Daphnia pulex: one gene and its partner. The protein of the gene in region 2 binds, or shares a complex with, the protein of the main gene of each other region. Links are inferred from orthologs where the notes say so. Each region holds a gene or a part of one and is shown on either strand. Other genes may lie near its edges. The genes, in order: queuine tRNA-ribosyltransferase catalytic subunit 1-like and queuine tRNA-ribosyltransferase accessory subunit 2-like.

Evidence for each region.
Region 1: the proteins of queuine tRNA-ribosyltransferase accessory subunit 2-like (region 2) and queuine tRNA-ribosyltransferase catalytic subunit 1-like are in contact, whole or in part, in a crystal structure (PDB 7OVS), measured with the Mus musculus proteins. The link is inferred for Daphnia pulex from reciprocal best matches to the Homo sapiens genes QTRT2 and QTRT1. Residues at the interface, in NP_001343258.1 of Mus musculus: Arg39, Thr40, Gly41, Ser42, Ala43, Pro44, His45, Leu46, Thr47, His48, Gln49, Thr50, Asn53, Glu70, His71, Glu73, Val74, Glu77, Tyr78, Phe85, Ile86, Gly87, Phe119, Gln342, Glu343, Phe345, Tyr355, Asn359, His360, Ala363; in NP_068688.2 of Mus musculus: Thr50, Thr53, Met54, Lys55, Gly56, Ile57, Thr58, Thr59, Glu60, Gln61, Ser64, Arg80, Pro81, Leu85, Lys88, Ala89, Phe95, Met96, Asn97, Ala307, Lys308, Phe310, Pro320, Thr324, His325, Ala328, Phe329, Ala332, Leu333, His335.

What each region holds. Positions count from the first base shown.
Region 1 is NC_060021.1:11,355,374-11,371,605, forward strand, and holds queuine tRNA-ribosyltransferase catalytic subunit 1-like, read right to left. Parts: upstream 8,950-16,232; 5' UTR 8,800-8,949; coding exon 8,682-8,799; intron 8,598-8,681; coding exon 8,590-8,597; intron 8,500-8,589; coding exon 8,410-8,499; intron 8,331-8,409; coding exon 8,177-8,330; intron 8,106-8,176; coding exon 7,973-8,105; intron 7,905-7,972; coding exon 7,743-7,904; intron 7,671-7,742; coding exon 7,562-7,670; intron 7,504-7,561; coding exon 7,444-7,503; intron 7,384-7,443; coding exon 7,000-7,383; 3' UTR 6,901-6,999; downstream 1-6,900. Other genes in the region: uncharacterized protein LOC124194013, read right to left, coding at 4,116-4,331, 4,389-4,533, 4,596-4,651, 4,719-4,934, 5,002-5,161; uncharacterized protein LOC124194020, read left to right, coding at 6,066-6,169, 6,238-6,339, 6,396-6,867; tyrosine decarboxylase-like, read right to left, coding at 9,273-9,707, 9,773-9,946, 10,022-10,112, 10,187-10,527, 10,602-10,838, 10,915-10,985, 11,050-11,101, 11,219-11,332 and 1 more; uncharacterized protein LOC124194017, read right to left, coding at 14,792-15,793, 15,853-15,861.
Region 2 is NC_060021.1:7,436,497-7,452,464, reverse strand, and holds queuine tRNA-ribosyltransferase accessory subunit 2-like, read right to left. Parts: upstream 6,867-15,968; 5' UTR 6,759-6,866; coding exon 6,642-6,758; intron 6,565-6,641; coding exon 6,415-6,564; intron 6,330-6,414; coding exon 6,247-6,329; intron 6,124-6,246; coding exon 5,931-6,123; intron 5,857-5,930; coding exon 5,668-5,856; intron 5,575-5,667; coding exon 5,496-5,574; intron 5,434-5,495; coding exon 5,349-5,433; intron 5,297-5,348; coding exon 5,153-5,296; intron 5,085-5,152; coding exon 4,959-5,084; intron 4,893-4,958; coding exon 4,775-4,892; 3' UTR 4,747-4,774; downstream 1-4,746. Other genes in the region: sodium-dependent nutrient amino acid transporter 1-like, read right to left, coding at 81-227, 302-396, 462-522, 583-701, 762-803, 876-933, 993-1,169, 1,246-1,432 and 8 more; NAD kinase-like, read left to right, coding at 15,247-15,518. UniProt on the Homo sapiens protein: Non-catalytic subunit of the queuine tRNA-ribosyltransferase (TGT) that catalyzes the base-exchange of a guanine (G) residue with queuine (Q) at position 34 (anticodon wobble position) in tRNAs with GU(N) anticodons (tRNA-Asp, -Asn, -His and -Tyr), resulting in the hypermodified nucleoside queuosine (7-(((4,5-cis-dihydroxy-2-cyclopenten-1-yl)amino)methyl)-7-deazaguanosine).

The DNA of each region.
Region 1 (16,232 bases), about 3.9 Mb from region 2:
ACATCCACGTTCAACATAGTCTCATTTCGTTTGCCTTTCGTTCACGAATGTTTCCCCTGCAAATTAAACATCCTTTTTCAAACAACTTCTTTGATTTTTGCTATTGAACGTTCCCCTCCCCCCTTCATTTCTGTTTGAGCCTTTCAGTTATTTGCCACTAGCCAAACCCACGGATGTAACCCATTAGTGGAGACGAAGGAATGCATGTTTGTTGTTCTCTACCACAAAAAACAATCAAAAGGACGGGTGGAATGGTGTGTGTTTTACCCTGTTTGTTTGAATATGAAACACAACTAGACGTCGTGTGCTTCAAGCACAAGGGAAGCGCATAAATCAACAAGATGAATTCCTATAATACACCACCACTGCTGCACCCCACCCGTGGTCGAATCCAAAATTGAATACATTCCAGCAAATGAAATATAGATGTACACATACACAATGTAAACAAGACGAACCAAAATTGAATAAAACAGAAAGAAAATTTCGAAATTCTTGTTGTTTGTTTGGTACTTCTTCCCCCTCAAAGAAACAAAATATGTGTACATTTATATGGGTACGAAAACAAAAAAACAAAAAAAAACAAATCAGTTGCGTAATGCTATTGAAATTTTGTGCCCTCCTTTCCGTACGGGTCTTACGGTGCTCGTATAAGCAGCTATTCAGGACACGACCGAGCGATAGAGCACGTACCGAATGGACGGCGAAAGACACGGGGAGGTCGGTCAGAACCGAAACAAAATCTAAGGGAACTTTCACAACACATTGGCACGACGATGGATTTTTTTTTTTTCAAATGTATGCAGAGAGAGAGAGGAGGAGGAAAAGGGCTCTTGTTCAATCAACGGAGAGTGGTCAACTCGACACACAACGGGAGTCTGATTGCTCGAAACCAATGAAGAAGAAAAAGGCAAAAAAGGGTTGAAGCAAAAGCTTGATTACGTGAAAATGCCGGCATCACTAGTAACAACTACTACAACAACAACCAACAACTACGCTACTACTAGTACACGTTAACGATGATTCATTGGGCATGACCGACTCTCACGGCTGCCGCTCAACAGCTTCAAATTTCTCATCGACAAATCATCACGATTTTTCTCATCACACAAACCAAAAAATAACCACGTCGATGACACGCAAGAGTAGTAAAACCAGCTTCGCCCCTTTGCTTCACAAATCGAATACTCCCCTCGCAATGATCCCGCCTCAGTGTGTATTAAATGATGGATCAAATTGAAAATTGATCAACCACGTCGAAACACTTCCGTCGTGCAGAGTCGAAATGGTTTCCGCATCGGCGGGAAATCGATGACGAGTTGCTGGGATTGGGACCTTTGATTGTTAAACGATTCGCCAGGTTACACCAATGGCAAAAGGTCAAATAAAACAACCAACCAACAGAGAGCCCACCACACATGTATGTTTGTGTCGCGCGGGAGGAGGCACTTAATGACAGGGGACGGATGCGCATGGGCGGCGGCGGCGGTTGCGGCGGCAACGCACTTTGCATAATGGTCGTTAAAAAAAAGGAGGGAGAAAAAAAAAAAGAGTTTATTTTTTAAGTCGACTCTTCTTTTTCTTTCCCCTATTTTATAGCTATTAAACACCCTCAAAACATTTTCAAGTTTTTCTATTTTTTGTTTGCTTATTTTTTCTTTTCTTTTGGCTTTCGTGTTTTTGGGGGGTTTTCATATCTAACTTGAGGCCATCGGCTAGTTCTCTCTCTCTCTCTCATCCATCCGGAATTTCCCATCTCCGACCATGTCTTTTCGTGAAACACGGGATAATGCGCTTGGGTGTGTTGTGTAGTACTCTACCGACATTAGCATTATTCCCGTCCAATTAAGTGTGGAAAGATAAAGAGAGAAAACAAAAAACCAAAAGAGGAAAAAAAAAAAAAAAACTTTTGAAACTGGAAATGAACGAATTGGAAATTTTCTTCTATGTGTACAAAAGGCAAAAAAGGGAATTTTTTAAAAAAAAAAGGTGGCAGCGTGAAAAAGATTCTGGGCGTCTCTTTAACTTTTTTTCCAAAATTTTTTTTTTCTTAAGAGAAAGACGAACAATGAACAGTTTCTCTGCACAGTATGTAAAGAGCTCCCACTCTTGCACCATAATACCCTTCAATTAAGCGAAATCTAATCATTTCTCACACTCGCTTCAAACTATTCATTTATTCTCGTTGGGGATATAAGAGAGCCTCGACGACTAGGGGAAAAAAGCAGAAGTAGTAGTAGTCGTTGTGTTGTTATTATTATTATTATCATTATTCGAGCGGCGAGAGGGAGGCAGATGGAAAAACGAGTTAAGAGAATGAGCCGCGGAGATATAAAGCGGCAAAAGGAAGAAAATAGATAGAGACTACAGCTAGAGAGAGAGAGAGAGACTTGTGTGTTACAGGAGATTAGATTGGTGGATAATATATCTATATCTATATACACTAAACAGTTAGAATGATGGTCCCTTGTGGTCTGTCGTCGTCGTCGCTTTTTTTCTTCTTCTTCTTTATCTTAGAGATCGTGCGTGAAAGAGAGGAAAAATAAAGAGCCGAGGGGAGAGCGAAACGGGCAAGGTGTTACCTCTTGTCGAAAAAGTAACGAAATAAAAAAATATTTTATCACGAAGAGGAAGGGAGAAAAAAAAATAGCCGTGCTGTTGTTGTTTTACGAATGAGAGAAAGAACAGTTTGTTTTGTTGAGTTTTTTTCTTCTTCTTTCGTTTTTGTTTTTAACGACCGGCCGAACCAAATGATAGACTCTTTGGCTGAAACAAGCAGCTAGCGCCTCGAGAGTAGCAACCGGAGGAAGAAGCTGAGAAGAAAAAACAAAATAACTCTTAAAAAAAAAGAAAAAAAAAAAACTGAGAAAGAAAACTCTCACTTCATTAAACTGTCCCGTACACAAAACAGTGTGGAAGCAACCAAAACAGTTTTGCACTCGAGTTCGTTCGTTCGCTCTCTCGCTACAGTAACCCCTTCATTATTATTGAGACTGGCCATGGGTCAAACATTCCAACCCCTTACTTTTCACACAAAAAGATTTCCTCCGGCGTCATTTTCTCTTCATTTTCCAAACTGGAAGAATAACAAGAAGAAAAAAGAAGAAAGATTCTTTTCTCTTTCTTTCTCTCGCTCCATCTCTCTCTGTCTGTTCTGCCTGGTATTCATTAAGCCAAGAAGGTCAACTTGGAACACCAAGCAATTTATCCTATCTCTTTCTCTCTCTCTCTTTCAACAAAGTTCCAGCAGCCACTATGTCCAAGATTCTATACGTGTGAAAAACCAATAAAATGAAAGTCGCTGTCGTCTCCGGGGTTATTTTTTCTTTTTCAATTGGTTCACGGCTCGATGGCTCGAAAAGACGCGGGATATGTACTGTGCAAAAGTCACGTTAATCCATCAAACAAGTCGAAAACCCCATCAGCAACTTCTACTGACGGATTAGCATAAGTCAATATCATTACAAGAAAGGGAGGAGTTTTTCTTGGAACGACAGACACACGGTGATGGTATTTGCAATGCCGAGTGAGTAAAGGAGTGAGAGAAAGGAGTCATTTGTTGACTGCTCGGGGAAATTTATTCACGAGCTAAACCCAATGGTCGTGGATGGATGGATGGTAGAACTGTACAACACCCCCATTTTCAAGTTATTGGAGAAGACGGTAATAAATAGCACGACTCGTGCGCGATCAGGAATAACATCCTATCGCCAGCACGATCGACACCTCTCGTGTAAATGCATTGAGACAAAAAAGTGAGATAGAAGAGACTTTTCCTTGACTTTGGAAAGATAAGAGTCGAAACTGTACCATTCGGTTGGAAAGGGAAAAAGAAAACGACCACAACGGTTCCTCTAGCTCTAAACGTTCAGATAAACTCAATTGAATCATAAATCTTTCAGGACCAAAAACACCAAGTGTTAATCTTCGCCTCTAATATAGGACGGCCTAACAACAATCGATGAATAGATTTACGCGAGGAGAAAAGAACCAGACCGATTGACAAGTTTTCCGTATTTCAGGTTTTGTGGGTTCCTTCCTTTTTTTTTAAATAGTACGCAAAAGACCAAAAGACTCCATCTAGTAGCTACGACAAGAAGTAAACAGGGACTTACCAGCAGCAGCTGACGATTCTATCGGCACACAAGCCGGAAGATCTTTGGGGATCCATTCTTTTCCGGAACACGTGAGGAGTGGTGGGCCCTTTTGATGATGACCCTCATCACAATAGTACTTGACAGCAGCTCCGGACACGTAGATGTGGTTGACAACACCTCTTGCAATAAAGAATCCTCCTGTAACGGACGGTGGACGAGGGCAGCTAGCTGGAACTAATCAAATTGAATTGATTCCACGTGTCATGTTAAATTCGATGTTTATCTTATTACCACATAAAGGGTTTTCTCCTGTCCATTTTCCTCGAACACAATATCTGATTTCACTTTCTGGTGGATCTAATTCAAGGCCAAACCAACACTGGTAAACTGCACGAGTGGAACTTAGTTCAGATGTGACTGCATTTACTCCCCCTTCCTACGAATTAGACATGGGCAATGAAATTATTCTGACAAGTGTAATAGTTAAACAAATTATACCTGTACTTGCATACTTCCTTGCATCAATGGTGGCAATGGGGGGCATCTCTCTTTGACTGCAAAATAGTAAATAAAGTTTAAAATAACTAAATGGTTTTATAATTGTCATTACATTTGAATTACCTATACACCGCGGTAATGGGATGTAAATAGAATCTCCCAAGGTAAAAACCTTCCATAGGCCTTTTTGAGAGCAGTACAGAAGACTGCTTTGCGGGTTCTCCAATTCGTACCCATCTTTACAAATGATCCTTATAACATCCTGAGATTTGTACTGGCTTTTCACTGGGTCAACTGAGCCATGCAGTAATAAAGGTGGAATGCAAATCTCTTTTGCATCTTATCAATAAGGTAAGACAAATTAGAACATAAACTAGAGCATGGAAGCCATAGAAAACCCATGTACCTTGATGAACAGTTACGTTCACAGAAGTATCGTTATTCGATAAACTCAAATCAAATAAAGGTGGTAAACCTTTGAAAATATTAGAGATTCCATTTACTGGACAATACACCCATAGATACACGAAAAAAACGAAAAGATGAATCCTTGATAGTCGCATCATTTTCACATCTTTGTTTTGATGAATCTTTTGTTTTTAATGTGACAACTTCCTGAGGAATGCCCTTGAATAGGATAGGACAGCCCAACATTTGCGCCACCTGTGAACCAATAATGTACTACGTATGAAATCCAAGGCCCATGCGCCATCCGGATGGGGGGAAAAGAAAAAATACCAACGCGGTATTGGGCGGGAAAAATGGGTCGTTCGACCAGAAGATTAGAAGAATGGTGTGTATCTCAATCTCTGTATGTTGTAAATTAGAGTGAGCACTGCACTCGGTTGGGTGGAATTAAGGAAGCGAGCAGCGCGCGAATTAGTTTGTGCGGATGTTTTCGTCAAATATTGTAATAGTTCGCATTTGTTTCTAAAAATAAAACGAATGAAAATAAAAATACAAAAAATTGCAGAAATAATAAATGAGCTGAAATTGTAACTAAGCCAGGTCAAAACAAAGTGAAGAACATATTTTTAAAACTATCATTTGTGTATTTAATGAACTTTGTACACGGACATTAAAATTGAAAAGAAAAAAGGATTCCGACGAACCGGAATTGAACCAGTGACCTAAGGATTTCGATTGCCGCTACAGTCCTCCGCTCTACCATCTGAGCTATCGTCGGTATGAATTCAAGGTGATTTTTTTTTATTTATACATTTTTTCGGGGGTTTGGGGGTAAGAATAATAATAAACAAGTTTTGACAAAGAGAAAATTCCATTAATTCAATATTACTAGGAAATAAATTATGAGCGACGTAAGTTTTAGAAACTTTTTTTATGTGTCTGCAAAATACTCAGATGATTCTCCGTTTTCCCAGTGGTGCACTTTTTGTTCTTTGTTGTGGTTGAGCTAGTATTCAAATAACTATATTGATAAAAGCGCTGGTTTCTTCTGGAACACAAAAAATGGTTGCTAATATTGGGCTTAAAGTTGCGGGAGCTATCCTTGTTGGAACTCTAGCATCAAGTTATCATTCGTCAGTGGCATGCTTATCGACTTCTACTTTATCGTAAGCAGAAGTTGTTACATTTAGTTTTAGTTTTAACAAATTGTTTATTTCCTTATTTTTTGTTCCAGCTCAAGGAATCAAGCTTGCATGAATGCTGGTGAAGATGTAACCCTCTTTGATTTCACTGATTCTAATGCTGATGTCAGTAATTGGATTGAATCATCTGACACGTAATATCTCTTTACAAATAATACTTTGCATTCAAGTAACCACATTATTATTATAGAGTACGCCAGCCAGGAATGTCAAAGGCTACAATTCTGCTTCAGAAGGCACAACTCTTTCAGCGAGCAATTTTCTTTGCTCTGCTCAATCCTCAGCCCAATGGAGCAGGATTTGCTGGAGTTCGTACAGCAGTGGACTTTGATTTGTCTGGTTTCTCTTCCATAAGAATGAAAATAAGAGGACAAGGTCAAGCAACTAATTTCAAAATCATTCTTAAGCATCATGGTGAAGTGGGTGATGGATCTCCAAGCTATGAACAATTTTTCACTGCTACAAATGAATTTCAAGAGCTAAATCTACCACTTAACAAATTCCAACCCTATTGGAGAGGCCAACCATTGCAGAATGCAGAACCTCTAGATAGCACCAACATAACCAGTTTTGGCTTTCAATACTATGGTGGAGTTTATGAAGAGCATAAACAGTCTGGACCAGCAACTTTAGAAATTGATTGGGTTAAGGGATCCATTTAGATTTGAAAATTATCAAAGAAAAACAATGCTGTCTCATTGCCATTTTTCCAATGTAATGTGACAATTGCAACATCCAAATTATTTTGCGCAGATCCAGCGCACTTGTTATTTTTCAAGTTTAAAATACATTTTTTAACAATCAACCTGTTGATGCTTGTGCATACTGCCACGCTCGTACAAATCAATATTGACAACTCTTAGAGCATCCGTGGCCCAAACAGGAAAATCCTTTTTTGGGTACATGGTATCCATGAAATTAAAGATAAAGTCGACAAAAGTCCCTTTCAAAATGTTCTCACGAATATTACGCATCAACTTTAGCTGATATGCAACGTTGTGGACGGTAATAAGATTGCAAGCTACAGTCTCTACCGTTGCAATGGTGTGAAGGTACGCCCTTGTATAACGTCGGCAAGTGGAGCACTCACAGTTTTCATCTATAGGGCGAAAATCTTGCGCGAAAGACTTTAACTTCAAATTCAGTTGTCCAGTTTCAACCAGTGCACACCCGAATCTCTTAAGAAATTAACGAAGTTACAAAAATGAAATATTTATGTTGTTTAAAAAATAACTTACAGCTGTTCGTGTTGGAAAAACACAATCAAACATGTCGCAACCTAAGGCGCAACAAACAACCTAAAGAATAAAAAAATTATTTCCACTTTTTTTAAATGCTTATGATAAATGTTTTTACGAGATCAGTAGCAAACCCAACACCCATTAGATATCTTGGTTTGTCGTTTGGGAGAAGATCCGTAGATAAATGAACCATTCTCCAGAATTGGTCCTTTCCTTCGCCTCCACTAAAGAAAGAATTCGATCAGTCGAGTTAGCAAAATTCTCCTTAAATTATTGATAATATTAACTTAATATACCTTAAACCACCAATTGCAAAACCTGCAACATCTCTGTCCATCAATTGCTTAGCACTTTCAGTTCGCAATTTCGGATCTAAGCCCCCTTGAACTATAGGAAAAAGATTTTGAGCTTCCGGCCGCTTATGGGCTTTCAAACAGCGGTCTAACCACCTCGTAGTTCTAGAAAATAGATAATCTTGTCAATTTAACTCTTTATGTAATAATATAATCTTTATAAAATCAGTTACCTGTGCATTGCTTCTTCAACTCGAGGTCCTGATACTGTTGAACTTACTACATCATCCAATTGCATGATGATGTCTGCACCAATAGCATTTTGAATCTCTATGGATCTCTCAGGTGTTAACAAACACTCACTTCCTTCAATAAATTATAAAAAGTAAACAAATAAGTTAACACATTAAGTTTTTTACATTGATTTGATGAAATACCATCATAAGGAGATTTAAATTTCACTCCCTCCTCTGTGATCTCAGCTAGCTCTAGTAACGAGACCATCTGAAATCCACCAGAATCAGTTAACAAATTTCTGGACCAGCCCATAAAGTTATGCAGCCCACCACAACTCTCCAACAGATCAGGGCCCTATTATTTTAAAAAGTGTAAGCCCTGTTTTAATTAGCACAGTTTCAAATTTTGTATTGAATTTGTTGTATTGCTTTACCGGTCTGTTCCCTAAATGATATGTATTTCCAAGCAAGATTTGACAATTAAGTTGCTCCAATTGCTCAGGTACTATACCTTTTAACGAGCCCTAGAATAAAAAGTGCATGTTGTTTAAGCGTCTGGCATTTTATCAGTTACCGGAACCAATAAATTATTCATCTCCGAGTTGATGTGTTACCTGTGTTCCTGAAAAAAGACAACATTTCTGTAATTTTTCTTCGTCTTGTTTTTAATTGAATGAAAAAAATAATAATATCTGTTTTCTTTTACCAACTGGCATAAAAACCGGTGTCTCAACAACGTGGTGAGGTAACGTCATTCGAGAGCATTTTGCTTTAGTTGTTTTGCACTGCGCTAAAACTTGAAACGTCAAAGGATGGCGAGTCATGGTGAAATTTAATCGAAAGAAAATATTACTTCGGAACAATTAGAAAATTATCCACGTAAGTCACAGCAAAAAAACCTTGCACATCGATAGACTTTCACACGTGAATTACTTCGATGTGTGTAGCTGTTACTGTTTAGTGTTTACAGCAGACGCCTCAGAAGTCAGAATACAGAAAAACCCGGGAAAACAAGATTTTCAAACAAAAACACCGTTTTGTTATCTTTTCACAATTTCGGGGACAATAACGAAAGTACATTTTTCTTTTTTTGATCAATTTTATTTCATATGATTTTTAAACAAAAATATGTGAATATGAAATAATTGCCAAATTTCCATTTGTTCCATCACCTGATATATCATGACGCTGTGTCCGGTAACGATAATCTTTTTCAACCGATTTTGAGAAGAATGCGAGAAAAAATTAGGAATTGCTTTCACGTTGCACCAAGACGAAAATGAAAAGACATTTACATTCAATGAGAATCACCATTCTTCACAATTTTTCTAACTCTGGTTCCAAGTAGTTTTAGCCAACTACCGTGCTTTCTGTGAGGTTTTTGGATAGGGAATTGTACGGTTTCCATTAAATCCATCAGCTCTGAAATTTCCAGTTGATCTATATGCTGAACCAGCTCCTCATCACAGCTCTCCAGGCCATCCAGAGAAACTACAGATTTACTTAGGTTGACCTCTTCATTCAGCAACTCTGTCGCAAAATCAGTTATCACGTTCCACGCGTATTCAATGTCAGAATCCTTGGCATCTTGTGCGCAGACACAGAAGCGAATGATAAACCGTCCGTGGATGGAAGCCGGGACCATGTGCAGTTTACCAGAGGCGTTGATGTTTAACAAAAGTTTCTGATTCAGTTCATTGTCACCCTTCACACGAAAACACACTAATCCCATCTGCAAACATAAAAATGTTTATGATTAGTGTACTAATTGGTAGTTATTTGATGTGGACATTGTACCTTGACAGTGTTACACACTTCAAAGCGCTCGTCGGCTTTAACAAGTGATTCAAAACATTTGGCCAGACGGCAATGCTCGCGAATATATTTTTGCAATCCTGCTACACCGTAATTGCGGATGACAAACCATAGTTTAAGTGCGCGGAAGCGGCGACTCAAAGGAATACCCCAGTGCTAACAAAAAGCAACGTCATATCCAACCGTAATAGTTAGTATAATTTTAAATTTATAGCAATAAACAATTGTTACCCTATAATCGATAGCTTTTCCAGAATGACTGTGTTGCAAATAAAGTGGATCTACTACCATGGCTTGAGTTAACTTGAAGCGATCACGGACCCTTAAATTTTCCATTTAAGTTATAATTAGAAAATAATAAGAGTAAATTGAAAGTATAATGGAAAAAGTATTCACCACATAGTAGAGCAGTCAAAGTTGGTTAGCAACCACTTGTTAGGATTTGTATTGAAAGACATTGCAAATTCAATGCCGTCCATTAAATATTTGAATTCAGGGCAGATGAACGCATTACCAGCATAGGCTGCATCGACATGAAGCCATGTTCCAGCCTCCTGAGCAATCGGACCTATCGGTAAATTAAGAATAATTAAATCTGTCTCGTAATTGTTGGGAAAAAAAGGAATATTTTTCTTGCCGATTTCTGCCAAGTTATCAAATGAGACGCAGGAAGTGGTTCCCAATGTGGCTGAAACAAAGAACGGAATCAAACCCAGCGCTCGATCTTCTTCGATTGCCTTAAAAGATAATTATTAGGGTTTGAAACCGCATTACAACGAAAATCAGAAAATGCCAAGTCATCTGATTATACCTGAGCCAGAGTAGTGCCTCGCAGACTCAAGTTCTCATCGGGGTCAAGAATACGCAGTTTCGTGAAAGCAATCATTGCCGCTTTTTCAACGCATGAATGAGCCTCCTTCGAACAATAAGCGACCAATTTTGAAAGCAGGACACCTTCTTCGACGAATGGATGCAATGTTTTGAGTTCTTTGATTTTTTGGGCACGGGCAGCCAAAAGACTAACCAAGACACATTCACTAGCCGAAGACTAAAGTGATGCGCACACATTAAAAACGAATATTTATCTCGTGGCAATAAATGATATTTTGTCTTCGAAACATTACCTGCATGACACCGCCGCCTTTGCTGTTATCAGAAAAGGATAAAAATTCGTCCGGAAGGCCGATCATTTGCCCTGAGTGAAAGAAATCATAAGTTTTATTATTTCACTTATACAAAGAAAGCATTACGGCATTTACCTAGCCAATCTAAAACGATCGTTTCTAGTTCAGTGCAAGCGGGGCTGGCGGCCTGTATGAAAAAGGAATTCAAATGGGTTGCATTTTAAATTAGAATTCAGATTGTTATTGGTGGTGAAATTCAGTCTCGAATATTTTTTTTCAATTTAACAACAATGATTGGCCTTACCCAGGAGAAACCAATGGCCCCGATGCCGTCAGAAAGCATGTCACCAAGAATGGACGGGAACGAATTACCCGATGGGAAGTAAGCGTGAAACCGCGGGTGCTGCCAATGTGCAACCTGTCACATTCAGGAGCACACGGTTACGTAAATATCTAAGTTTCTTTATTGCGAAGTACGATGATTACTTCATCGTCTTCACCTATTAAGCATAATAATATTTAAAAATAAACATGTTTGATCTTACGCCGGGCATAATTTTAGACTCCACATCCGACATGATCTCCTCCCATTTTTCACCCTCTTCGGGTGCATTCTTCGGGATAATTTCACGAAGGTATCCTGGCTCAACGGAAGGAGTCACACGTCGCTCACCCAACGTCTCCATGTACTCGACGATGTAGTCGACCATCTCTCGACCGCGCTGACGGAATTCTGCGCTGTCCATTCTCCGTGTGAATTTGGTGATAGACTCTTGACCTATTTGAATAAAAACCGAAAAATTGTTGGGTTTTATTCTGCTCTGCTCTGCTTCTGCAGCGCTTTTGGCTGAAATTTGATTTAACTAGAAGACTTTCAGAGCTCTAGCATCACATGAATGAATGGTTATCGTGAATCTACTCTCGTCAATTAAGATTAGCATTATTTCAACATTAATTGACTTAAAATTAACAGTTAGAACTCACTTTGTTGGTTGGTAGATTTTCACACGGATTGCTCTCGACTATCTGCACACGTACCGAGTTAGATCGCCACTGTTTGTTGGTGAAGAAATCCAGGGCTTTTATAGCAAACTCATATGGGGCTGTAGAGACTGTTGCTTTGACCATAATTATTAGAGATACGTAAATTTGCAACCGTTGTGGTTGAACGTGGTTGAACGCGGTTGAACGATAGCAGAGTGTATCGGCCAAAAAATAGAGGCGGGTCTATACAGACTCTGTTTACGTAAGACGAAAACACTGAATATCGATTCATTCTTTCCATTGACGAACCAATTTTGTTTGTCTAGCTGATATCGTAAGAAAATTGAGATGTTTTTAATAGACAAAGAAATAATGACCTGTTTTCTGGAAAATTGGCCGGTTTCGAACGAGTGTAATTATTTCTGGAATGAGAACAAGAAGAAGAAGAATTAGAAAACTGTAAATTTCACGAGAACCGGTTAACACTTTGACAAAATCTTCGCAAGCTTCTGTATCATTAACATTCAACATAGTCTGCTGCTATTTAAATCAATCTCTAGTATCGCATTTCAAATATAAATGGGTGTTTTGAAGTAGTGGTCAAGGGCAACTCAGTTCAAACCACAAACAAAAATAATCTTAATTGCGTTTCACTTAATTCCGGAAGGTTGAGCTCACGGCGTACAAAAAAACTCATGATTATATTTTATTCGTTTTTTGATTAACCTTGCCCTTTTTAATTTTCTAGACCATATTGGAAATGCGATCAAGAGACTCGATGAAGTGTAGAAAAGGTGACGACTGTGAAAGCGACTAGAATCATGGTCATTATCTATGGTCAAATACATCAGCAGATTTCTGGGCTTTTCACAAAGTCCTTGGGACGAAGAAAAGGAAAATGAAGTAAGCTACTATAAAAATCACACTACGGAAATTAAGGGGGAAGGTTAGGAATTTCCAATGTGAAGGTCGTTTAAAAAAAATAAATATTGCGCAACGTTCATGATCAAATACTTTTGTGGAGGAAAAGTGGCAACGAAAGAAAAAAAAACTACCAGGTACTAATGAAGTCCATTTTCAATGACAATGGTAATACGGAAAATGGAAAACCTTGTTAAAGCAACCTAGGCTTTCCTATCGATTTTGGCGTCAGTAAACTTAAACACTTCACGATTGGACATCACAATTTGTCAGTAGCCTTCGTCTAGGTGGCCGGTGGGAATCCCGCAAGACAATATGATGACTCATCCACATCATTAACGGCACAATCAATCGATCGTCCTTCAAATGTCCATAATTTGATGTTCAAACGGCAGAAACCAATAAAAAAACACATTCCTGTATAATTTTCTCTTTTTACTTAACCAGGAGATGCCAATGTGGTGGCAGGTCCCTCTTGGTCATATAATTTTCTGGTTGCACCTTGCTTTTTTTTAAAAAAAGTGTTTAAAGTTAAAAAAAAATTTCGAATTTTCTTGTTTAAACCCACAGACAAAGTTGCGTGGTGCAAAACTGGGCCTGATCTATTTATAATCAATCCCACCAAATAGTCAAAAAGAATATAAATAAATGTTTTCTACCTTTTAAAAGACTCGAGAATACGGTCAGGCTCAGGCATCCACAAGTGTTCCATGACTTCCATCCGCTGAAAAGTTGGACCTGCCAGGCGGGATAAGAAAAAGGACGTCCTTGTGAATATACCCATGCACTCACATTGATGTACATGAGAACAGAGGAGATTTAAGGAAGGGGAAGTACATCCTAGTTTCTCCAATAATTGTGATGCTGTGTATCTAAAGGAAAAATGTAAATTGGGTTACGAAAAAAAATATTGAAAGAAACAAGTAAGGAAAAGTTGAAAATGAGACACTGGGCAAATCCTAATTGTCAAGAAACAGGACAATTTAAGGTTTCTATGAATACACTGTCATATGTGCAAGTCATGCATCATTAAAATATATAGCAGGTCGCAGGAATAAAAGTAACCCAAATCGTTATCCTAGTGATAATAATGAGATTGTTGCTGATGACAGTCCAACACAAGCAAAACTTGCATACTACTATATCTTCTTGTTGCTATGATGGCTGTCTCAGGCCTCAAAGCTGCACAAAGGAGAAAGTCGTAGAGCAATTAAATTGCCATGCACCTACAGCGGGCTTACATGAGAAATACTAGTCAGGCATTTCACAACTTTGGAACAGGTTAAACTCTAGTATTTAAGCTCCCAAATCATTCCATGTGTAGTTTTATTTAAATACCTGCCAAACAGCATGGAGTGGAGAGCATGGAGACTTGACACCAGAGTTCACACAACCACATTTTTATAATTTAATTTATTGTCCTACTTTTCGTACGGCCACGTACGTTTCTAAAAACAGTGATCCATTTTCTTTGTAATCTAATAATCTCAAACTTCGTCTCTTTTTCGAAACTTACGAAAAAGTGTCCGAGCGAAAACAAATTGAAAGCAGACGACACTATCTTCTAATTGGTCCGGGGGGGGCGGTAAATCTAAACTGCTCAAAAGCGATAAAAAAGCGGTTTTCTCACTCGTTCTCGACATCCACTGAACGGATCGGGACTATGTTAGTTTCAAATATTTCGTCTCTTCAAGTTACACTCGTGAGTCCCCTTACCACTCTCAAGATAAATGTAAACCCACAGATAATTATACTCTTGGACCCAAACCGCCACAATAAGACTCTCCAGTATAGTTTCCTTGTGGGCATTTAATGTTTCACAGTTGAAACCCGTACCTGCTGATGCTGATGCTAGTTGGAATAATTTTTGTCATAGTTGAACAAGTGTAATGATTGCGAGCAAACAGCACAAATAATACACGAAAGCGCGAAATCAATACAAATTAATTTAATAAAAGTTTAGACGAAAAAATTAGCGTTTTTCATTTTCTGTGTCATCATCTTTCAGCAGCTCATCGTTGACATCGGAACCATCACCTTCTCTTATTCCTGAACCAACTGGGTAGCCACTTGGAAGAGCAGGAACGTTAGGACGTGCATAATTAACCGGTGAATACTGAGTCTGAGCGTACTGTGCAATGGGCTTTTCCAATACGCTGTGACAGATATAATGACATTGGTTGGTGCAAGTTGCGTTGGAGCCACAATTTTGAAGACACTTTGGCAAGTAAAACTTGAAGTTTGGAATTTCATTTTGGAATTCATCAATCAGTGGTACTTTACTCGCGATTTGTACTACACTATCAATTTGTTCAATTTGGTCCTTGAGGGCGTTTGCAGCCTCTGCCAATTTGATATCCATCTGACTGAAAGTCGAATCGCAGAAGCTGGCGCAAGTTCTAAGACTCGTTTCACAGCCTGCGAGACAGTCGACTCGGCCATCGCAAATTGAACGGCAGCTGGTCTGCTGCACCGTGCACAGGATGTTACAGGTGGAGATGATGAATTTGCGGCACGGCTTGACGACATCACCCGGAATCAAGGCTCCTCTTGGCAAACCGGCGGCAAAGACTTCGGCCGGAATGGGTCTGACTGGTTTGTTGGGGTTCTTGATATTGACGAGCAGAGTTTTCTTGATTTTCGAAGGAACAGACGAACTGTTCATGTAGGAAATCTTCTTATACATTTCGTCCAAGTACTGCGACACCGCGCCCATATTCAATTTGATAGCTGGCAGTCCATTTTCGGGCAATGTGAAATTAAAGTGCAACTCCATTGGAACAGAAGGCCTCTGATAGTTGTTATTGTTATAGGTGGGCCGGTTATAATTGGGTCGGTTATTGGTGGGCCTGTTGTAGTCATTGTTGTAACCGCTGTTTCTGTTGGATTCATCTGGATTGCGGATAGGAGCTTGTCGGGCAGTCGATAGAGCAATCACACAACTGGCCGTTGCCAACAAGAGCCACATCTGCATCTGAATTTAAACTAAAAATTAATAACAAAGTTTTTAAGGTAATCGTAGTTGAAACATACCTTTGACATCGTTGGGTGACAGCGGAGCTAGTGAATAACGAGCAACTGAAATGAACTGCGGCTGTTGAATGATAACAACGACAGACGTACAGTGTTTTATAGGCGCAACTGAACTGGCCGTTTCTTCAAAGCCTTTCTAGAAAACCCATTAGTTTTTCAGGGACTTAAATCGTCGTAAGATGAATTACCAGATTACATCCATAATTTAGTATCAAACTGATTCACGGAACTAATCAGCATCCTGAGCCATTAAGGTACGCAATTATTGACGAGCTTTAACAAAAACAGATTAATTTCCTCGTTAATTTCAATAATGGAATACATTTTAATGGGAAATATACTCACACTAAGAACGCAACAAGGTTTCACTAATATCATTC
Region 2 (15,968 bases):
TATAACTTTCAACAGACCTATTGTTTAAAACCGGTCTTTATATAATAGGAATCACACGATTAGACCTTTAAATACGTTTCCTAGTGCGATTTACAGCTTCTGGTCCATTTGGGATTGGGAATCCATGAGAATCTTATAGGTTGCTTATTGTATTCTAACCAGTCACGTTTGATTCCAGGATTTTTGGGTCCCCATTCAGCTGCCGGCCGAAGACTAGCTTCGAATCGCTGAGTATTATTAACGAATTTAATTGTTAGTTTGATTCATTTAAAAAAAGAGATAACTATATAATAAGGCAGACCTGAATCCAGTTATTTCCTTGTTGTTTGCGAACAACTAAAGCTCCCCATATCGGAATTTGAAGTATGGCAATAGCAGCCAATACCCACCCAGCAGCTAATAAATACATTATAAGACGTGTTATTTTATCACCGTTACGTAACAACTTAAATTGTACTTACCGTTTGCGGCGGGAGGGTAAGGTTCTCCATCGTCAGTCTTCAACGGTTCATAAACAACCATCTGAAGTGAAAGTAGAATGAATTACATACCTGGTGTTACGATTAATTTTTGTATATTTACAGCATAGATAAAGATGACTGCTAGAGCAATTGGGATTAAAAAGCACCATGTGAATTTCCAATAAATTCCCAATCCGAATCCCAACATGTAGCGAATATCGTTGACTATTTGCTTGAGTCCTGTAAAAATCATAAAGATTAATCGTATAACTGAATTTGGTTAAACATTTTGAATTATACCATAAATCCAACAGACAGCAATAGTCTCAGCGATCACCATAACTAGAAATTTTAATTATTTTATCAAACCAACATTTAAAAAAAAAACTGCCATTTGTAAACCAAAAAGCCTACTGTAAATGATGAATCCTCCGCCAAAATAATCCACCAAATCCAGAATATACTGGCCTCCCTGTTCAAACAAATAAATTGTATGCAGAAAATTTCAAAACGAGCTTGATATTAGTTTACCGGAGTAACGTAAACAAGTCCAATGAGGAAGCTGGCGGCGCAAACAAATGCAGTGACAATCCAACGGGGAATGTGTGGTAAATCATCAGACAGTATAGTAATAATACATCCGGCAAGTCCGGATGCGCTTCCGATCGCAAGAGTAATCAGCATCAAAAAGAAGAGCACGGCGAATAACTATTGAACGTCAACACACAAAATTAATTAAAATGTGTTTAAATGAATTATTTATGTGCGTAAAATCTGATTAGACCTGAGGGACTGCATCAAATTTCGATATAGCTTCCGGATACGAAATGAAAGCTAACCCGGTTCCACCTTGAACAACATTTTCGATGGGTTGATTTGTTTCATAAGCTAAATTGCCAAGAATTGAGAAAATGGTGACTCCAGCCAGAATGCTGGTAAAAGTATCCGCCAAGCTGACGATAGTTGAATCTCTACATGGAGACATAAACTACTGAACGAATAACCAAACTGAATCGTTAGTAAAATTGCTATTACCTGTAAATCGGATGGCGGAATGGGTTGTAGCTGGAAAAAGTTGAAATCGGTCCAAAGCCAACCGACAAAGAGAAGAAACACTGCGTCACAGCTGCGTACCAAACCTAAGCATAATTTTTCTGTTTAATCAAGATGACCTTTCAAATTATGTACACGTGAAGGGAAAATATTTACATCTGGTGTTAAAACTTTTTCCCAGTCAGGTGTGATAAAGTACAAGATGCCGTCACCTGCTCCGGGTAAAGTGCAACCTCGTATAAGAAGCGTGATAAGTACGACATAAGGAAAAAGGGCTGTGAAATAAGCCACCTTTCCTGACGAGGATCTATTTAATCGTGATGATTAAGGTTATGTAATTGCAGTAGGCGACATTTTAAACAGTCTGTACTTACACTCCTTTGGCGAGCATTGCGAATACTAAAATCCAGCACAGCAGGAGACACAAAGTTAGTCGCCAATCTGGAGTCCCGATGCCATCATCCATATTGGGAATTTTCTTCAGGACATAAATGCTGAACAGACAGATAGTTAAATAAATCGAATCACATGTGGAGAAAAATTTTGTTACGCACTAGAAATATTCTTCTGCACTGGACACACTAGTGTTAGTCAGATTAGCCATCGATAGATTAGCTGTGGTACTGTAGCAATTTTCAGTTGCCCATTCAGGATCGCATTCAGTCCAGGGCAAAACAGCTTGGAATGAAGCAAAGAGGTAGAAAAAGGCCAAGGCCATCAAGACACAGTAGTAAGTGACGACACACCAGGTAGCCAGCGCTTGTCCGTATCCAATACCTTATAACAAAAATAGGGTTAAATTATTTCATTCTTGTAGTAAATATCTACTCGGTGTTACCTTTAGCAAATGGTACACAGTCCCAAATTTTGACGGATCCTGAACTTGAAAATTGTCCAAGGATCATCTCGAGGAAATAAAGTGGCCGTCCAATGAAGACCAGCACGATTAGGTACGGAATTAAGAAAGCACCACCTCCATTCTCATAGGCAACGAACGGAAACCGCCAAATGTTACCCAATCCGACCGACATTGAAATACAAGAGAGAAGAAACTCTACAGGATTGTCCCAATTTTCTCGTTCCGGTTGATCTTCACCTTCATTCTGTTTAATTTTCGATGGAATTTCCTTATTGAAAACATTATTTTGATTACATTAAACTGTGAATTTTACTTGTGTTATTATCACTGCGGGAGCTTCCGTGTCAATATTCTTTTCGCACATATTGCCATCAGGTGAACCATCGTCAAATGCGTGATTGACGAAGCCAGCGCTTTGCTCAGACTGTAATTGAATAAATAATAAATATTCAAATAAATATGTAATTCAAAGTTTTCCTTACCGAATTAGACGACATTGTAGACATGGTAATGATCCAACGAATCGGTTGTAAATGACCATAAACTGCTCCGAATGGAATAAAGAAATACTGGGCCGCAAAATATATAAATTGATCTAATTTTTATAGCTCACACATTGCGTCAGTTGTGAAAGGTTTCTGATAATAAACTAATTCTTTGCTGCCAAGACATTTCTTTGGCGGGTATCCTACAAAGTTTAAAGAAGAGTTAGTTATCACTCTACTCAAGTGCTTAAGGAAAGCTTACAACACATAAATATTACAAACTTACCGAGGGTGCGTATCACGTGTGCTTCTCTTTTCCTTAAATGTTGTAAAGTTGCGGTCGTAAATTGTGGAGTCAAGGTTTTCTTTCCGAAGTGACAGGTTAGCTCATTGAGTACGACGTAAAAGCGTTTATCTCACGACCTTACACTGTATTATCCTTCACGTTACAAAGGTTATTTAGTCGCATGGGTTGTTTCAAATGTTTAAGGCTTACATGAGAAGGTAAAACTTGAAAAAGTAATTTGTTTAAAGGATTAAACGTAGCGAAGTATAGTTGATCTCAACCAACCTCTAAAAAAAGATGATTAGGATCGTCGAGTACAAGATAAGCTACCTCATCAACATTCTTTCAGTTTTTTAGTTTTCATTATTTGTGCTTTATGATGGATAATAAAATTTTATTCAAGTTTAACGTGAATACGTAAACCATTGAATAATTAAAAAAGATAAAAATGTTGTCTTGAAAATCCAAGATCTAGAGTGACGGGAAGAACCAGTTGGATTCTCTATACCAAGGAATCGGGGATTAGGTTTTGTGTTTTGGAATTTAGATTAGTAGAGATTGATTTTGGTTTGAAATGAGTATTTTGGATTAGATTTTGTGTTCGGATTAATGTAATAATGTACTGATGAATGCTTAATGTACTTCTGAATGAAGCTATTCGTCCCTGAATCCGCAGATTGCCGAAATAAAAGCGGATGCATCCTTGATCGGTCCCGCACCTGATGGTCCACCGGAACGAAAAATCCGCACAGAAACTTCCACTAGAACTTTTCAAAGGAGGTCCGTTCCACCGGAATGGGAGGAAATTGCTATCTTTCCCCATAATTGAGATTGAAAAATGATTTCTAGTTTTTGGCACGGTGCGCCCTATCAAGGAAAAATTAAACTCGTTTCTATACTTTCTGTTATTCGAATTAACGACCTGGCATGCGAGGAAGAATACAATGATTCTCTCTAATATGTATCTGTTATTTTTATTTGAAGCCGAAATTTTTAACCTTAACATTGACCTCTGCAGAACTCTCCGAAAAGCTATTTTAAGACATTAGAAATGGGTTAAGGCCGTTTAACTTCCGAGCCATAAAAATGCTTTATAAGTATCTTTATAGGCCTACGACAGCATAATCGTAACTCTGTTTCGTTAGATTATTAAAATTTTTTCTTGCCATACAGCGCACCGTGGGTCAGCACAACTAAAATGCCTTAAAACTCGCATTTACCCATTTACCAACTATTACCTCAAAGGTTCGGTTTTAAAAAGGCAATAAAAAACCGTTTTACCGTCATAACCTAAAAACTCGGAGCCTCAAGAAATAGCGCCCTTTTTCGTCCTTATTTTCACAGGAAGGCAACTGCGTCCTCATAAATGAGAAAATAAACATTCGACTTAAAATTAGTAAAACAAAATCGCCTTACCAAGTCGAAATTCTAATTAAACCCACTGAATGCATGGCTCTACGTGTTGGAGCCAATAAAACTCTATGCGCACTTCCGCCCGAGCACTTTTCCGTGTTCGAATCCACAGTGTGCGGAGACTCTGTTATTAAACATTTACAAATCCTTTGCCGATTTTAAATTAAAAAAAGTAGAGAAATAGAACTATTAAAAAAAAAAGTTAAATTTGTTATTTTCAGTTTCTGCGGGAGGAAACAAACAGATCAAGCTTAGATTGCAGAGCTTGTAATTCATTGTCCTTAATGGCCTGCTGAATACTTTTAAAGAAGTTGATGTAGTGATGAAGATTGTGCCTGTAAAAAGAAAAAAAAAATAATGATGTCGAACGAGGCAATGAAAGCAGCTATAGTAATCAGTACATCATTATCAGGATAGGCCCTTGAAGTTCACCCGTTGCGGTCAAATGGTGAACGTAACTTCGCGAATACTTGCGGCAGCTATAGCAAGAGCAGCCTTCTAATAAAGGTCTGGTGTCACTGAAGTATCTAGTGATTATTATGTTAATTACAATTAGGTATGTGAAAATCGAGAAATTTAGAAGCAATCGGCTTACATTTTGTCTTTGAGATTTATTTCGTAGACTCGATCCACTGATTCGTCATTGCTGTTATCATCTGCAAGTTTGGCAACTTTTTGGTCCGTTGCAACTACTGCTGGGGCTTTCACGCTTGGCAATGTTTCAGTAACAGGAGCGTTTCTGTTAATTAAATAATTACTGCATGAATATCGAAAAACGTAGTGATTATTACTCTTTGGACAGTGAATTAGGAAAAACCAGCGCACCCCCTCGTTCTGCAACTAGCCACGGAAACGTTGCATCAAAAATATCAATGCCTGTTTTAAAGATTAAGACTTATTAAGAACTTTGGCGAGATTCGAAGATTTTAAATCCTTACCCTTAGATACGAGTTTCAGTAGCACGATAGGTGTAATGGGTCCATGAAATGCTCGAGGTAGATTTTCCGGAAGTGAACCCTGTAATTAAAACCCCAAAAAATGTTTTATACAATCTGAATGTGTTCCACGGCTCTCTAGTGTCTGCCAAGACAAGAATGATTGATAACGTACCAAAGTTTCCGTTAAAACTGGCTCCACGTCTTCCCAGAGTAAATTCGTGGCAGATTCTCCGTTTGTGTGGAATCCTTCGATAACATAACCAGCAGCACCAAAACCTTTTAATTCGTTTATACAGCGCAATCTTTCTTTAATATTGTATCCCCCAGTTATACAAGCTAACATGGGAGTGTCTTTTAAAACCTGGGGAGTGTAGAAAAAAAAAAAACTGAAAATGTAAATTTACTGTTTTTGAAAAAGAAACACATGTTACATACATCAGACTTTTCTTTCAGGTCAGCACAAATACCAGCAAACTTGACAGTAACATCAACAGACTTTCTAACCCTTTTAGCTGAACTGCTTTGAGTTGTATCTCCATCAACTATCGCTTGAAACATGTCTGGTTTCAATGCTTCAATGCAAGATATGTAAGTCTGGGGGTCAATCAGTTTCCTTCCACCTCTTGTCCTATAAAAATATAAGATAGTATATCAGTAGCCAAAGCCAAAGAGTGCTCTAAATTAAAAAATTGGCATCACAATTGTTGAGGTGGATAGGAACAGAGTAAAAAAAAAGTTATCCAGCATTTACCACAGAGAAATGGAATTCTTTTCATGGTAGCCCTCAGGTGTTGTAGTGCCAGAATCTTGCACAGACACATAATTTAAATATTCCTAAAAAGAAAGATTATATAATTCTTGTTTCACTTTCAGGACAAAGTAGTCAAGATGCGATCATCCACATGACAAGATCAACAACCTTTAAACCTGCAAACTCAGCTATTCCTTTTCCGAATGCTTTCACATTTTTTGTGTGATCAACAAGCGTAACCAGAGGCATCTGAAGCATGTGGTGCCCAGTTGAAACCATTTGTAAGAGATCATAGCTCAAATGTGGAACAGAAGCACCCTATGGTTAAAAAGATAATGACAGAATCACGTTAAAAATGCAACAACATTTGATCGTAGGTAGAAAGATAATCATACACGAGTGTGTAGCAAAAGTAATGGGGTTTCGAATACAGCCTCTGGGATTCGAGCAAATTCCGTTAACGAGCCTAGTCTGGCACTGGATTCGGCCACCAAAGATACAGCAAATTTCATATTATTATACAAATCAGTTGCACTGTCACGCAAAAAACCTCTTCGAAACCAAATTATTTCACGTGAGTCTCAAACACTGAACGACCTGTCGTAGCAGACGACAATTTTGTTGATTTGGATGAATACAATCGGCAGCGATGTCGTCGGCGCCAAATTCGATTGTCAGCATGACATTAGATCAATAAATCGCTTTTGGTATGAATAATAGACGACAAAAGATCAATGAATGACTCGTATGATGGTAAGAAAAAGATGCAATTCACGGTCAAGCGAGAAATTTTGGATTTAGACGTAGTATCTTCAATGAAAGAGAAGTTATGCGGTCGTCTGGCCTGTAGCGATAAATCTTTGAGTCGAACAGCCGCAAAGCTCCGACGATTTCCCGTAGTGAAACCTGGCACAACATGCCAAACCAATCGCCGGTGATAAGTAATTATCGAGTGAAAATCTCGCCCCATTTTTTCTTTTCACTTTGGTCGATCGGCCAGCCGAATTCGATTCCAGGAAAAGTCGCCCATCGGCGCTCATCGAAAGCTTTTCTCGACAAATAAGCGGAAGCCAAGAAAACTAACAAAAATATACTCTTCTTTGAACTGCTTCGTTGGCCGAAGATACAACAACAACTAGATACATCTTAATCATTTGCCCAGGAAAAAGCAAACAATCACCTGCAAAACAATCCGGTTTTTTTGTTTTTGTTTCATTTCGCCGATCTACCCATTGACCCATTATTATCTACATATGTAAACTAATCACATGCACGAAAACAACACAAAAGTCGGAATACATTTTTTTCCCCGGAAAAAAAACCAAAAATTAAAATTGATCGGAAAACGAATGTTTCATGTATTTAGATCACGGCCTATTTTCCCGTCAATTTATGACATGTCATCTGACAGTATATAGCGGCGCTCATTCACAGTTGTCTGTCCGGTTCGTTTTTGCCTCCCGGCAGAAGGTCTGCCCCGATGTCTTTCTCTTTCTCTTCTCTTTTAAAAAAAAAAGCCATTTTCTCATTTCTATCTAAGGGTATTTCGCCAACTCCCGAAGAAGAAGAACAGGAACAACAACAGCGTCTAGGACCTGTTCCTTTTGACTACAGGTCGAGTCCAAGTATAGCCCTACTTATCGAATAACTTGAGCAGCTCGCACGCTCAAATGTTTTTTCTTCTTCTTTCTTATATTGCTGACACGACACGACTGGCAGGCTCGTTATTATACGCATGCACAATAAACTGACAGCAGCCATAAGAAATGCCTTCGTCTTTTGTTGTAAACAAATAAAAAGAAGAAGAAGAAGCGCGGGGAAACAACGAAAAAATCGTTCATTTGAAAGCTAAACTTATTAGGAATAAAAAAAACGGGATGAAAGGCTAAACGCCGACGCAAACACTAATATTACAAAACGCCAGGCAATAAGATATAGTATATAGTAGTAGTTTTATAGCTGAAATAATATGCCATCCCTCAGAATTTTTATATTTCTTTCATTTTTAGTGAAACAGTTGGCGAGCGCGATGAGGAGCTAGCGAACAAAAACCCCACGTTGTTTTCATTTCTTGTTTTAGTTGCCATATTTCTTTTGGGTTTTTTGTTTCTTCTTTTTCTGACTTCCAACAGTCAGCAAGACAAATTGAAACGATTGTTGACGAGAAAGTTCGCGGGAGCGGGAGCGGGGGGTGGTTGGCTTTTCTTCGTTCAACGCGTTTTATTGAAAGTCGCTCTCACGGATATGCGCGGTCGATTAGAATATGGAAATTCCCGGTGGCAGGAGGAGGCAGGAGAATCCACATTGATGTGAGATCATCATTCACGAAGGAAACGCTCCACATATCAGACACGAAATAATACAAAAGAAAAACCAACGCACAATCTGTTATATGTATACACGGCCATCATCTCTCTATCTACCCCGACAGAAAAATAATAAAAACCGCTACACAAGAGAGAAATTTGAATGTGGTAATTGAAAAAAAGAAAAAGAAAAACAGATGAAAAGATAACAGACGGACGGAAGTTGCATTACTTTTTTTTCCGAGGGAGGTGGTGGGTGATGGATCGCGTCGTCTACACGCGGATGATTATTCCAGAAATATTTCAACCGTCTCCGCGATTGGGTTTTCCTACATCTGTGCATCTTTTTCTACACGCGTGTTGTTTTGTAAGAAAGGCAAAAAAAAAAAAAAAAAAATCCCCAATTTTTCTTTGTGTTTAGCGTGAAATGGTGGACCATATTTCTATATAATATCTGGTGGTGGTGGTGGTGGTGGTGGTGGGTGTGCGACGACGATTCGACATAGCGCCATAGTCGGTGATCCGGCCGCGGTCTGGGAAATAAAGGAGGAATCGAGGGCGTGTGTTATTATTATTATTACATGTGGGACCGGTTGGTATATAGTGGAGGTGAGCTGTAACCACTGCAATATAATCTCCCCTATGCCCCGAAACACACCAAGTGAGAGAAAACAACACACACATAGGCATTTATAAATATAGCAGATGAGAGACCGCATTCGATTCGCACTACTACCGGCCGTATAATCAATTCAGTTTCCCACATCGGCCGGCCACTGTACAGTATTTTTTTGTTTTTTCGTTCACGCCCTTAAGGCAGCGAAGCTACTACTATCCTGTACAGTATGTATGTATACACATCTATACGAAGCAATCTCCGCTTTCTACGTTGACCTTTGCACAGCAATTGCCGGCAACTGCCAAGTTCATCAAGTCTTGGCGATGAGTATTTGAAATTCCATAGTCGTATCGATTATTTGCGGTGGTTGCGATTGGTGTAGATACAAATCCAACAGGTGGCCAGGTTATACAGACAGTCATCTCGTCGTCGACAAAGATCTCCCGTGTCGTCCGGGCGCGGACACACATAAAAGAGCGTCGAAATGGTCGAGGATATCACACAAGAGTTTGAGACTAGCTGGGCTCCGCACACAGCAGTCGCAGTGGCAATTTGGTCATCGAGGAGAAACGAGTGAGAGAGAGAAAGAAAGAAAAAGAAAGGGGAGAAAGAGAAAGAAAATAAGAAAGAAGGAGGTGCAGACTGCAGACGGGAGAGTTCGTGTGTAGCAGCAGAGCTGCTCCCTGCTGATTCCAACTGTGCCAGTCGTTCTGTCAGTGCCGGACGGGCAGGAAGCAAAAACCCCACAGTCTCTTTTGATTTTCTCTTGCTCGTTTTTTCTTCTTATCCTTGATTGCTGCACTGAACAATTCGAAAATTCCAGGGAATAAGAACAAGCTGACTCTCTCGTCCGTTATTCATTTCCACCCCCCAAAAGTGCATTCAACTCAACAGTTTCTCAGTTTGACCAGTCAACAACAACCCCCCAAAAAAGCTCTTGTCGAAAATGATGGAAGGAGATTTGAAACTGGCCCAGGCCCTGGCCCGAATCAGTACCAACAATTCGAGGAGTAACAGTCCGGCCCGAACTGGCAGTCCCAACCCGGGAGCGGACGGCGGCGGGACGGCGGCGACCGACGACGCCATGAAAACGCATGCGTCCATGGTCCTGGAAAAGATCCAAGGCTTCAGGTGAGTGAGTAGTAAATATATTCCATTACACCTGGACAAAACTGTTGAACAAAAATTCCCCTGCCCGTTTCGGTGTCGATGGGCGAAGAGGTTGTCAAAGTTTCTCCTCGGCTCCATTCCAAATCGGGTGCCGGGACACACTGTGCAAACAGCACACACGAGAGAGGCTAGCTTGGTCGGTCGTCATGATTCACGCGCACTTTTCCCTATAGATAGCGGCTGCTGGCTGTTTCACTCTCTCGACTCACGCGCACGTATGAATGAAGCAATCGCTAACCTCATTCGCCAAAAAGATTTATACCGAAAGATTCCCGTGCCGTGAGTCTCGTCTAAGTAGATAATCATTCAATTTGCGGGTATACACCAACCCGTCCCCTCCAACCAAAACACACAGCAACGGTCGCTGGCGTTCGCAACCTCTTGTTGCCTATTCGCTGCGGAGGGGGGGTTGTTGTGTGTTGTCTTGGGGGGGATAACAACAACAACCACCAGCCAGAGTCAAGTACTATATATCTCGACTTTATTACAGCATGTGCACGCCAGATCGTGACAAAGATGGCGTGCTGTTCCGGTGGAGAAAAATCCCGACACAGTAGACGCGCCCTGGCACGTCTTTTTGCCCGTAGTTATATTAGAGTATTAGACGTACACACATTTACGTTACGACTCCTCCCTTCTCTACCGACAAGTTGGGGGCTCCCATTAACCTCAATCCGACCTCATAGTCTGCGGCCGCCGTCCGGGAAACACAAAAAAAAAAAAAAAATAAGAAAATGTTTTTTTTCGGTTGGCGCTCATTTTCAATTGACTTAACCTCCCGTTGCGATCATCTCGTTCCTACACCCAGCGGGGGTGTTGAACACACTGAGCTCATAGGAAAAATCTCCAGAAAAAAAAAAAAAATTATTTAGGAGCTCGGGAAGATGTTTGGCCGCGCCGTGAGGAGGCCACCACCACGTCAATTGCTCCGTTTTTTGTTTTCTTCTTTTTCGGGAAACTGAAACGCGCGTTCAGTAAAGCGTTAATGATCTATTCCCGGTTCGAGTCGGATACATAGCCCGCAGCTGCTGCTCCTTTTATCCCGAGAGAGAGAGAGTCCGACTCGATTGGCGTCTAATATCAAAGGCCCCTAGTAAAAAGGAGGCAGACAACCGACAACTTCTACCATCATAAGGGATCGTGAATCGTGTGCACGCCGACCTTGTTTGACTTTGAATGGTGGGGAGTATTGCAGTCGATTAGATGAGCAGCTCACGAAGTCGTTACGAGATCAGACAATCGATACGGGAAAAATAAAAAAAAAATATGAAAAGCCCCGAGGGGTTTTTGGGTGAACAATGAGGACAAAGAGCAAACGAGAGAGAACTACTCATATGCGTCCCTCAGATGCTGCGGTCGATATATAACGCGGCGCAGAGGAGGGGATTGAACTGTCAACAGTTTTTCACGATGATAATGAAGAAGGAAATCTCTCATCGTGAATATAGGCGGTCGGAAAACATAATGGTCGCCGCCATTTGCCACGGATCCTCCTTCTTCTTCTATTGAAGAAAAAAAAAACAAGTCAAACAAGAGCCCGGATAAGTATGGGAGGCTCCACTTCTACACACAACTCTTCCAGATGCAAATATACATGTAGACGAAAGCTTTTTCTTTCTTCAAGGCGGACGAGAAGCCGGTCTCTACACGTTGATTCTTCTTCTTATTATTATTTTCACAATAGAAAGCTCAGACTAGCGTCGAATCGGGGACAAGCCAACCACTAATCATTTCTATACTACTCCTAGTTTTGCATATATCTCCTCTCCCTGCTGGCCGTTTTCATTTCTCTCGCAGACGTTCATTTCGGCGATGGCCAGACGAGTGTGCGTTTGATTCTAACGTCCGTGTCAACGCGGTTGCCCAGCATCTGCCGCCGCTACAAAGTCACGTCGCTCGTATCCTCCCGTAAATGTAGGTCTCTCTTCATAACCGTCTCAGTTGATGGCTGCTGCTGCTATACCATCAATTATCACGACGGTCGACGGCCGTCAGCACGAAAGAATTACAAAAATATCAAATAAAAGAGCGGCGCTTCTTCTTTCCTGTATCGGTCGTTATCCATTAGCCGTCATCAAAGTCAATCTATCTTGAGCGCGCAACACACATTTTCTTTTTTTATTATTATTATTATTATTTGGGCGAGAAAACGAGTTCCCGTTGAACGTATACGGCATCAGCATTCCGGCGTGATTTTCAAACATTTGCATTCGAACACTCCATCAAGAGCATATACAGAACAGACTATACTTTCACCTCCGCAACGGCAGACACACACGCAGAGATTAAGTCGGCAAGATTAAGATATCAAAAAGGAGGGACTGCCATGGGAAAAGAAAAAAATAGACGATTGAGACACACGACGACGATGGAAATAATTTAGAGGAGAGAGAAAAAAGGTGCTGGACGCTTGGAATAGAATGAAAAAAAGATTTCTAATTTCTTTTTCTTCCTATTCGTCGGTGGGCGAAAGCAAAACAAGAATTGGAACACAGTTCCAAGTTTCCTTCTATATACCCATTTTGACGGCATTTTATTTATTTTTTTTTTTTACCTGGTGGGAGGTGTAATTGTGTTTTCAAAATCGCTGGGTCAGTCCCCAATAATAATCGACGCTGCGCTATTATCACGTCAAATACTGTATATATAAATACCAGATTGGCGCTTTTCTTATTTCTTTTTTCTCATTCGGACTGTTTCAACTCTCCGAGGCAGATTTAGATTTACCAGCGACAAACAATAGAAAACTCGTTATATAACCATCATTCATCTTTTGCGGTTTCTCAGCCCACGTAATATTGTTCATTCCCGTTTTTTTTATCCCTTCTATTTATTTTCTGTAGTATTGCGCAACTCGCTTCTGGGTTTTATTTTAATGAATCAAGAACTAAGCGCCATCTATTGAATTCTTTAACAAAAATTTTAAATCGAAATTAATTTGACCGCTAGATGACTTCAACGATCAATTCCAGTATTATCCGGAATCAAAGTGCTAGCGGCTTCGCTGGCGGAAGTCAAATTATTTTTAGCGATCAATAAAAATGGCAATTATTCGAGCGGAATGAAATCAATCAGCGTGAAAACAATAAAACGCGCACACACACACACACAAAATTGTTTAACTTTTTTTTTTGCATCGACAAGGTTAAAGCGATTGGCCTTGCATTGGGGTTTTATTTTTCTTCCGGAAAAAGGCCTGACTTGTCAAAAAGGAAGTAATTTTCCAACCTTTAGAAAAGAAAAAGAAAAGAAACCTACGCACAAGCCCAAACGTCAAGATGACGATCACACTTGGCACAACAGAGGAACGCAAATAATGTTGGAGGGCTTTGTGTCGACCTTCTGTAGCCAGTCAATCCATTTTGATTCGGCGCAGTCAACTGGAAACGAAACCCCTCCAAAAGAATTCCGGACACATAATAAAAAAACATAGAGGAAAAATGGAAGCTGTCAGGAAGGTTCAGCCTCAAGATTTATTGTCGGGTTGCCACAACATTTGCGATTGCGTAGTCGAGGCTCTACAGAGGAAAGAACAGCGGACGATCCAATCATGCGAGTTGCAAGCGCGGTGAGTCAGACACAATTTTCTGTTATTACCATATTATACAGCGAGAAGGATACAGCACAGTGTGTTGTATACATAACATATACATTATACAACACACACACAGATAGATGAAAAAAGGAAACAGACGGCATTGTACGAAGGTCAGAGAAAACCAGCCACACATTGTGTGTGTGTGTGTGATGGCAACTATTTCCAACAAGCGAAATTGCTGCAACCGATAAAAATGTGTGTGGGGGGGAAAACAACCGAATTTTTACGGCGAATTTGTTTTTTCTTTTTTCCTCAATTTGGGTTTTGGGTATGAGATTACAGAGAGAGCCAATTAAAAATCGAATTGCTCCACTTGGTTGAAATAAAAACGGAAGATGTGCCGTCAATGCCAAGGGCTTATGGGAGCTGTACAACGAAATATCAGTTCTAAACTGATAACGACAAGTTTGTTATTTTTATGTAACTCTGATGATAATAGTGTACATGGCAATTCTCGGCCGACAGTCTTTCAAAGCGGTTCGGACAGTTCAGGACTTTCATTTTCTCTCTCGCGGGATCATCGTTGGGCGAATGAGAAAAACAAGTTCTATCAAATCAGACTTGATCAAAATTGTGTGCTACAACTAACATTCCGAGGGGGCAATTCCACAGAAACATTTCCTCTTGGGCGTCCTCGTGAGTGTATCTTGTTTTCGGGTCTCTTTTTGATTTTATTGTAATGAAAGGGGAGAAAGAAGAATACATGCAACATTAGCTCAAGGGGAAATCAAAAGCTTTTGTTTAGTACCGTATAAAGCCTGAAAAAGGTGTATGGACAGACCTGAGAGATAGAGAGAGAGAGGAGGCCACCAATGCTAGGTGTGTTTTAACTTTTCCCTTTTTTCTTATTCATTTCGCCTGGACAAAAAAACAAACTCTCTCTGTTTTGTGCGCGCGGTTGGTCACAGTCGGCTCCAGTGTCTTGTTTTGATTGGAAAGCTCCCGCAGCTCCCTGGAACGACCCTTTTGCCTGTGTGTTCTCCACTCCACTGTGTCAACCGACATTCTTTGATTGTTTCCCTACAACCACCCCCCTCCGTCACATTCAGAGAATTCTTTTATATACGTCGTTTCTGTGAGCCTCAGGAAAATTTCTAATCGACGAGAGAATAATATTACGAGAGACAAATCAAGTGGCCGCCCGCAACGGACAATTCAGTCACAGACTCGACGTCCACTGCGCAAGAACCCGACCGCCCGTCCCGTCGAATCTTGTCTGTCTGTCGTGCGTTGCGCTAGTTAGTGCGTGAACTTTTGATTGATTTTTGTGGCTTTCCGATAAATAGTCACGTCCCACTTGGCTTACGATGATGGTGAGGTGCGACTCTAATTCGTCCGAATCTGTCACGCATCAGACTCACGCTGACGGCGGTCACTTTGCTGGCGGCTGGAAATCATCGGCTTCGTCTGCTATTTTAAATAATCAAGTGACGTCTCCCGGCGTCACACATTCGATGATGATCACCGATGCAATCCCCACGACGACGACTGGAATTTGGCCGCTGGACTTGGAAGGTCATACCCGTAACATTCGACCAGACTCTGAGCAATTCTCCCGCTCAAGATCGGGAACTTGGCCGTAAGTCATTTGACTTTCGAACTCTTTCAAGAATTATAAAAACAAAAAAACAAGAGAGACTTTCCTTTTTTCCGAGAAGTTTTTTGCCATCCCTCACAGCGAAAATTTTCAAAAGAAAAAGGAAAAGAAAAAAGAGTTTCTTTCTCTTTGAAATATAAAATAAAAGGGTTTTCAATGACGTCACAGCGACAGCTGACAGGGCGCATGACTTGCTCTTTAGCAGCTACCCGCTGTCAGTGTCAGACGAGAATATTTTTATTGCCGACGTATTTCGTTTTTTTGATTTTTTTGTTTTAAAAAATTGCCAATTCTTTTGTACATGGCAGCCTTCTTGTCGTTTTTATTCGACGTTATCTTTCAACGTACAAACATTTCCGAACGTCTTTCGCATTTTGATTAGCAGCTGATTGTTGTGCACAGTCTTAATATGAAGTCAAGGTCGATGTGCAA